Linked DNA regions of Alligator mississippiensis. The protein of the gene in region 2 interacts with the protein of the main gene of each other region in a biochemical or structural test. Links are inferred from orthologs where the notes say so. Each region holds a gene or a part of one and is shown on either strand. Other genes may lie near its edges.

Region 1 (3,746 bases), on a different chromosome or scaffold from region 2:
TTCTTCTTCTTTTTTTCACAAAGTCTCTGAACAACTCTTTTGACAACGTCACTCATAGCAGAGAGCTGAAAAGGGAAAAAATAAAACAAAAAGTTAACTTTGCCTAAGACTTTTTTTGGGGGGACAAACCACAAATCCACCTTCAAAAGCATGCGTGCTTAGCCCCAGACTCTGGTTGTCGATTATGACTCTTGAAAACAAGTTGATCAGCCTGCACATGCCACACTGCATCAGGCATTTTCAAATGTTACAGACTTTTGTACCCTGAAAGCAGGGATGAAGAATTTGGGCAAGTCACTTACTCCCTCCCCCTTCACAGAACTGGGATAATGCTCTCTCCTCACCCACAGTCCATCCTGTCTGTTTAGACTGCAGGATCCTCAGGTCAGAGGATCTACCAATTTGCATTTACAGCATTTACTATACCACAGACCAATCCCTCCAGAAACATGAATTAAATTATCTCAATTCATGAGAATCAAACAGGTCAACAGAAGAATAGCTTTGTTTATGCAGCAACTTAGAGAAGTCTGCAAAATCTTCCTCTCCTGTTTACTGAACACAACAGAAAGGGATCGCCCTTCTCTTTCTGCAACACGAGAATTGCATTATTCAGCCCCAATTACAACAGAGGCTGTTCCTTTTCAATTTTTAAATGTTACTTCACGAGAAAGAGCAGAGCAAATAAGCCGTGGACACCTAACCTTCTGTTTTACCCAATCCCAGTTTAGGGACCAGGAACCTTGTGCTCTCACTTCAGCAGGGAAAGAGGAATCCCTTCCCCCAACCCTTGCACGGCTGATAGCAGTGGTTCTCAACCTTTTTAGACTCAAGGCACCCCTCAGGAAACATGACTCCCCCACCCGAAGAGACCTGAGGTCCCCCCCCTTGAAAAATACCAGCTCCTAGTTTTCACTGGGGTTTTTTTACTATAAATAGACCAAAGGCCTCAGAAAGACAAGAGCCAGTCAGAACGCTTTTGACACTCTGGGTTCCTGTCTGAAATCTCCGAGTACATCTTATGAATCTGTGTAGCACACCTGATAGTGCTAGCCTTGCGTGACACCTTGTGGCACCCCCAAGAGGATCTCAAGACACCCCAAGGGCACGGCCACACGCTGGTAGAAAATCATTGGTCCAACCTCATTTTAAAACTGCAGGGACAGCCCTCTTGCAGCAATACCCCGGGGTGCCTTGAACTTGGAGAGACCTCATGAGCAGGGATCCTGGCTCTCTCAGATTAAAAAAAAATGCCCAATTTTCAGTTTAAAAAAAAGGTATGCCCAAAGCCACAATTTTCTGTGATATATATATATATATATATATTATAGTGGTGTTTCATTTATATATATATATATATATATATATATAGAGGTGTTACATTTTTTTTTTTTTAAATCACAGAAAAATATGGATTTGGGTGTACCTTTTTTAACGGAAAATTGAGAATTTTTTTCTTTAAAATCACAGAAAACCAGGATCCTTGCTCAGGACATCCTCAAGCCAGGCCCCCACCTCAGGGCAGCATCTTCTCTTGGGAGGGGAAAAGAGAGGAGAGTGCCAGCTCCCTTCCCCCAGCCTAAATGCCTTCCCTCCTGGGACTGGAACACCCCCCTGCCCCACTGCTGTGTGCTCATGTGTGGAGGGGGAAACAATCTGTGTGTGTGAGGGGGGGAACAATGAGTGTGTGTGAGGAGAACAATCGGGGGGGGTACGCAAGAGGAACAAGGGGGGGTGCAGGGGGAATGGGCGTGCGTGTGTAGGGGGAACAATGCGTGTGCATGTGTAGGGGGACACTGAGAACAAGTGCGTGTGTGAAGAGGAAGCGGCGGGATGCGCGGAGGGGAGCAGGACGTGTGCAGGGACGCGGGGGCCCGGTGCGCGCGCGGGTGCCGCCGCCGCGGCCGCCTCCTCTCCCAAGCCCAGGGCGGGCGAGGGCGCAGGGGCCCCGGGGCCGCCACAGCGGGCAGAAGCGAGCAGGCGGCGCCCTCCCCCCCCGTGCCATGCCGTGGCCCGCCCGCCCCCGGGGATACCTGGCGGAAGCAGAGCGGGCGGGGCAGGGCGCGGGCGCCCCACGGCACCGCCACCACGAGGCGCTCCGCGAAGGCGCGGTAGATCGCGGGGTCCGCGGGCCGCACCAGCTCCGGCCCGGCCCCGGCCCCGACCCCGGCCGCCACCTGCTCCCGCTGCACGAAGGCCTCCAGCGCCAGCGTCTCCGCGTAGCAGCCGCGCAGCACCGCCAGCGGCCCACGACCCGCCATGCTGCCCCCGGCCGACCCGGTCCCTGCCTCTCATGCTCCGCGAGCCGCGGGAGGGGGCGGGGCGGACACACGTGCGAGCCCCGCCTCCAGCCTCCCGCCCGGCAACTCGCACGTGGGGGCGGTGGCGGCTACCGCCTCCCAGTCTCAGCACCGGGGCCAGCGAGTCTGCTTGCCTAGCGCCCAGCGAAGGATGACCCGGCCCCGGGAGGGCTAGGTCTAGATCTAGATCTGGATCTGAAGCAAGAGCCGGTGGAGTGAGGCGCTGCAGTGCTGCCTCTCCTCTTCATCCGCCGCCTTGCTTCTACCTGCGCGCATTGCACCAGCCTCCAGCTGCAACTTGTCCACCTCTCCCACTAACAGATCTGTGTTTTCCTGGGCGGAAGAGCCTTCCTGACTCAGCCCCAGTGAAGACCTACTTTTACTGATCGTGTCCGTGATGTTTTAAGCCGTGATGGTCCAGGTTATGAGGGGCAAGTATTTTTTAGGGCAATATCTTGTGTTGAACCAACTGTGTAGTAGAGTTAGGCAAGCTTTTGAAAGCAATTTTTGTCTTGCGTGCTTTGTCTGAGGAAAAAAGTTCTCGAAAATGTGTCCAACTGTACTACACAGTTGGTCCAAGGAAAACTAACAAACACCCTAAGAAATCCTGGCCTCTCCTACATTGACTGACACATTTACAAGACACTGGGGCTAAAGGACAATGGCAAGGTTGTGAAATGATAAGCCATAGATAGCATTTAATAAAAACATACACCGTGGTAGTAGAACTGCATTATTGCCATCTTTAATGAAAACCTAGGGAAACTAGGCATAAAAACCAGTGGTAAAGTAGCAGTAACCTGCTCTAAATGGTGACTTTCTCATCTAAATCTACTAGTTAGGGTACTGTCCTACAAAAAAAGGGGTGCATTATAGTGCACAAGCTGAATCAATCCACAAGGTGCTCTTATTGCAAAAAAAGGCAATAGCATACTAGGTACGAACAAGAGTGTCCCTTGCCCATCCAGAAAAGCAACTCCAGCTCTTTTCAGCACTGGTGCAGGCTCAATTGGAGCACTGTATCCAGTTGGCTGCACTGCACCTTGAAACATGGATAAATTGGAAAGAGTCCAGTGGAAAGCAACAAAAATGGTCAGTGGTTTAGAGAGCATGATTCATGGCACTCACTTCCACATCTGTAACACTGAGATATTTTTAAGCAGGAGTGTTTTTAAGTACACAAACACTCAAAATATTCACTTGGATGTTTCTCCATGGTTTCTGTAAGATTATTAAAAAGATTACTGCATTGGAAAGTGTTTATTTCGTTTAGTCTATGCATCACGACCATCAGTAACACAAATTCTCTCTCACATCCTTTCCAATAAGAAATCAGAACTCAGTTAGTCTCAGACATAAATGCTTTATTTGTACCATGACTGCAGAAAACAAATTATTGACTCATTAGAGCTTCACAAAGCCTTGTTGCCTTAAAACCTCAAACCT
Region 2 (3,746 bases):
TACACACTCAACCTGAGCAAAGAGCGCGATGGTACTGCAGTGTGGCAAGCATCAGAACTCCTACTTTACCAAGTGACCTTTAATGATGTGATGCTGAATGCTGCTCCTGAAAGTTCAGCTGGCTGCTGCAGTTAGGCATTGTTTTTTAACTGTGCATTTAGCATAAAGATTGTACCAGTTTCCCCCACTTATGGGAGCCCTGCCAAGACAGCCAAGCCCGTGTCATGCCTGCTCTGGACTGCTGTGATGCACTCCACGTCAGTCTATAGATCACTGGAAGCTGCAGCAGTATAGAGAATAAGGGGAGCAAAGAAACGGGGCACGGGGTATATTAAACCAGGCCAGGGATTCAATGGTGGCACTCGCGTTTTGGAGAACTCGCTCCTAGATACAGCTCAAGGAGAGGCTATCAATCTGGAGATGCCCGCCTGGCCTAGCTGGTTCCCCAAATATTCCCTCCCTGCTCCATCTCCCAGCACAACTTGGACCAGCCATGCCTTTGTCCCTGCCCTAGTTTGGAAGTGAGCAGATATAATACAATAATGGCACTATATCAAGTTGCGATGGGATAAAAACCAACCCTGTTTTACTAGCTTTCTCATTACAATTAAATTTGGGTAGGAGAAATACAAAAAAAAAGTGATGCTGGATTAGTTGCACAGGAGTCATCGTCGGGGCAGAAGTTGGAACGAGTCAGCTAATCCAAGGAAGCTGACCAATCCCACACATTGAGTGGCCAGTCCCATGCCTGCTATTGGAGGCTGCTTCCTACCATCAAGTAAAAAGACCCATTAAATCATCACACGCAGTAACTGAAGCCATTTCCACCATGTGCTCAACTCCCACCCAGTTCACAAGGCACTGCAGGGTTTTTAAGGGCAACATTTGCCCTTATGAAATAACGCTTGACTCAGGGAAGTCGAGCAGCGTCCAATTCAGTGATCCTGCCACCGGTACGTCTAGAGAGTTAATACGTGCCCTGCTGTCGCTCCGTTATGAATGGCACACTTCAGTTTTGGGTCAGAGAAGCAACCGCAATAGACTCATAACGAAGCAGCTAATCAAGGCTCCCAAAGCCTGGCGAGAACCGTCCTGGCCAGGTCAGAGTCCCAAAACACCGGGTTGCTGCTGAGGGGCCTCTACGACGCAAGCACCAATTTGCCTAATCGGTGCTTCTCCGCTGGTGGGACTTGGCCACTGGCAATGCTGGGAGTCCTAAACGCAGTCCGCGAGCCTTTCACGTGTTCCCAGGGAGAACTGCTCCCGGCTTCAGCCCCCGCAGACTTGCCGGTGCAAACGCTCCCAAGGTTGCCGGCTCCCGGGGAGCCGCACCAGCATTACCAACTGCGGGGACATTTGGATGTCCCATTTCAGCGCAAGCAAGAGTCTTGGTCCTTAGTTTCTCCAGAATCAGGACAAGCTACTAATTCAATCCACACGCTCGTCACAACGCTACACGACTGAAGCTCGTCGTCACTGGCAGGCCAAGCCCGAGCGCAAGCTCTTCACGCGAGCAACCCCACGTACGCCTCCCCGGGCGGCACCGGGGACAGGCCGCGACTCATTGGAAACGATCCAGTTGCTTCAGGCGTGGAGCCGGTGTCCTTTGGACAACGGGAGCGCCTGAACCAGCGCCGCTTTCTGTGCTGAGCCACGTGCGTTTGGAGCCGACTCTTCTCCCCCCACCCGGGCGGCATCAAACAGGGGGCCTGAAACCACACTTGAAACGATGGGGGGGAGAATAAAACAAACCCTCCCACCCCCTTTGGACAGCTAATTGGGCATAGCAGCCTCCTCAAATCAGTTTGAAGCCCAGCGTAAAAAAAGCTAAGGCGGGTGGGCAGGCGGCTGCTGCCTGGAGCCACCCTCAGGTGTGGGGGGGGGCAGCCACCCCGGTGGGGGCTCCCTACGCCTACCAGCAACTTTCCACTCCTGGGGGTAGGGCCTTCCCCATCCTCTGGGGAGGGGACACCCCCCACCCCACGCACGTGGGGGGGCGGCCATCCATCCGTCCCATCCCCCCGCCCTAAACCGCCTGGCTCGGCCCCTCCCCTTTCTACATGGGGTGGGACACACACACACGTGTGGGGGGGGGGGCTCAAGGTCGCGCCGCTCGTCCCCGCCTCGGACCTCGTGCGAAGGCCGCCCCCGCCCCGCGCGGGGAGGAGGCCCAGGCCCGGCTCCCCACCGCCACAGGCCACGTTCCCGCGTGGGGCCGCCCCCCCCCACCCGCACGTGGCCCCTGAGGCCGCCCCTCTCCCCCCCGGGCGGGCGCGGCCCCCCTCACATGGCGCTGGCGGCGGTCGGGGCTCGGGGCCCGGCTCCGGGCGGGCGGGCAGGGCGCGGCGGCGGCGGCGGCTCCTCAGGGCTCGGGCTCGGGCTCGGCCTGGCCTGGCTCCCACAATACCCCGCGCGCGCTGGGGCAACGGCGGCTCGCGGCGCTGGTGACGCAGCAAAATACCCGCCGCGCGCCCGCCCTCCGCTCCCCGCCTCCCCTCGCGCGTGCGCGGCCTCCGGCGCCCCCCCCACCCTACTACGCCTGCGCCGCAACGGCCCGCGGCTCTTTCCACTCCTTTCTAGCAGCTTCTCGGCACGCATGCGCGGCACTGGGGGAAAGGACGAGAGGCGGCCGCGGTTGCCGCGGCAACGCTCCCCCTTCCTCCTTCCGGGCGCGGTGGAGGCTGGGAAATGGAGTCCCCTGGGCGTGGGCGGCTCTGCCGCCTTTGCAAGTAGGAGCAGGGCCGATGGAAGGGGGTGAAAGGGTGCACAGGCCCGGGGACAACAGCTGGGGATAGCCCCCTGCCCCCCTCCCTGGCGCCCCCAGGGCCAACTGTCTCCTGTAGGTACACCAGGGCACCAGCTAGGACTCCAGCCCCAGCCTGGTACATGGCCTGGAGTGCTAGGGCAACCTCCCTATTTGCTTTGGGCGTAGGACACTGGGTTGCTCAGAACCACCTTCCTCTGCTGCAGGTCCTGGTCTGTCCTGAGCTTCTGCATCTGTCTGTGTTGGAGTGGAGCTTCCCACTGCAGAGACCTTGCCAAAGAGCTGCTGCTGCGAGCGACGCGCTGCTCTGCGAGGCTCGTTCCTGCAGGAACCGCGAAGACAGCTGCCAGTAGAGATAGCGACGCATGCGGGCTGCACGGTTGCCTGCTCTTCCTCAGCAGACCATGAAGCAGCCTGAGTGTAGAACTACTCAGGATGTAGCACAGCCTGCCAGGGTCTTCCACACAGCCCATGGGTGCCCATCAAGCTCCTTGTTTTGCTCCCAGGCAGCAAAAGGAAAAGCCCCCCCGCCTCTGTTCTAGAACAGGACGTAGCAGAGCCCATTGTCCCTCCTCCGCGTTCTCCAACATTGCATCTTTTTCCAGGCAGTGAGCCTGTGCACAGATCCAGCCCTGTGGGCACCCAGCCAAATCAGGCTTCAGGCCGATCAGGGCAAAGGACCAGCAGGAAGACAACCGACTAACACCTGCTGACAAGAATCACCTCAAGCCCCCACCAAAGGGGTATGGGGAGCTCTCTTCTCTTCTCATTCCTCTGCTGCGGCCTACGAACGCAACCTCGTGTGCTCCAGGCCACTTGCAAACCTCGTTGCTCCCCTCTGGACCATCCTGCCCCTGCACCTCACACTTCACTTTCTTTCCCAAATGTTGCCACCACATCCATCTCGCTCGGCCTGGCTCCCCCCTCCTCCAAGGCTTCTTATAAGGGACTTGCTTCTCTACCGCCTCTTATTAAGCTGGTC

Evidence for each region.
Region 1: the proteins of PTGES3 (region 2) and TERT form a complex in vitro, tested with the Homo sapiens proteins (2 studies listed by BioGRID). The link is inferred for Alligator mississippiensis from reciprocal best matches to the Homo sapiens genes PTGES3 and TERT.

What each region holds. Positions count from the first base shown.
Region 1 is NC_081826.1:140,166,492-140,170,237, forward strand, and holds the start of TERT (telomerase reverse transcriptase), read right to left. Parts: upstream 2,447-3,746; 5' UTR 2,262-2,446; coding exon 2,034-2,261; intron 66-2,033; coding exon 1-65. UniProt on the Homo sapiens protein: Telomerase is a ribonucleoprotein enzyme essential for the replication of chromosome termini in most eukaryotes. Active in progenitor and cancer cells. Inactive, or very low activity, in normal somatic cells.
Region 2 is NC_081838.1:6,974,358-6,978,103, forward strand, and holds the start of PTGES3 (prostaglandin E synthase 3), read right to left. Parts: upstream 2,630-3,746; 5' UTR 2,599-2,629; coding exon 2,288-2,598; intron 1-2,287. UniProt on the Homo sapiens protein: Cytosolic prostaglandin synthase that catalyzes the oxidoreduction of prostaglandin endoperoxide H2 (PGH2) to prostaglandin E2 (PGE2).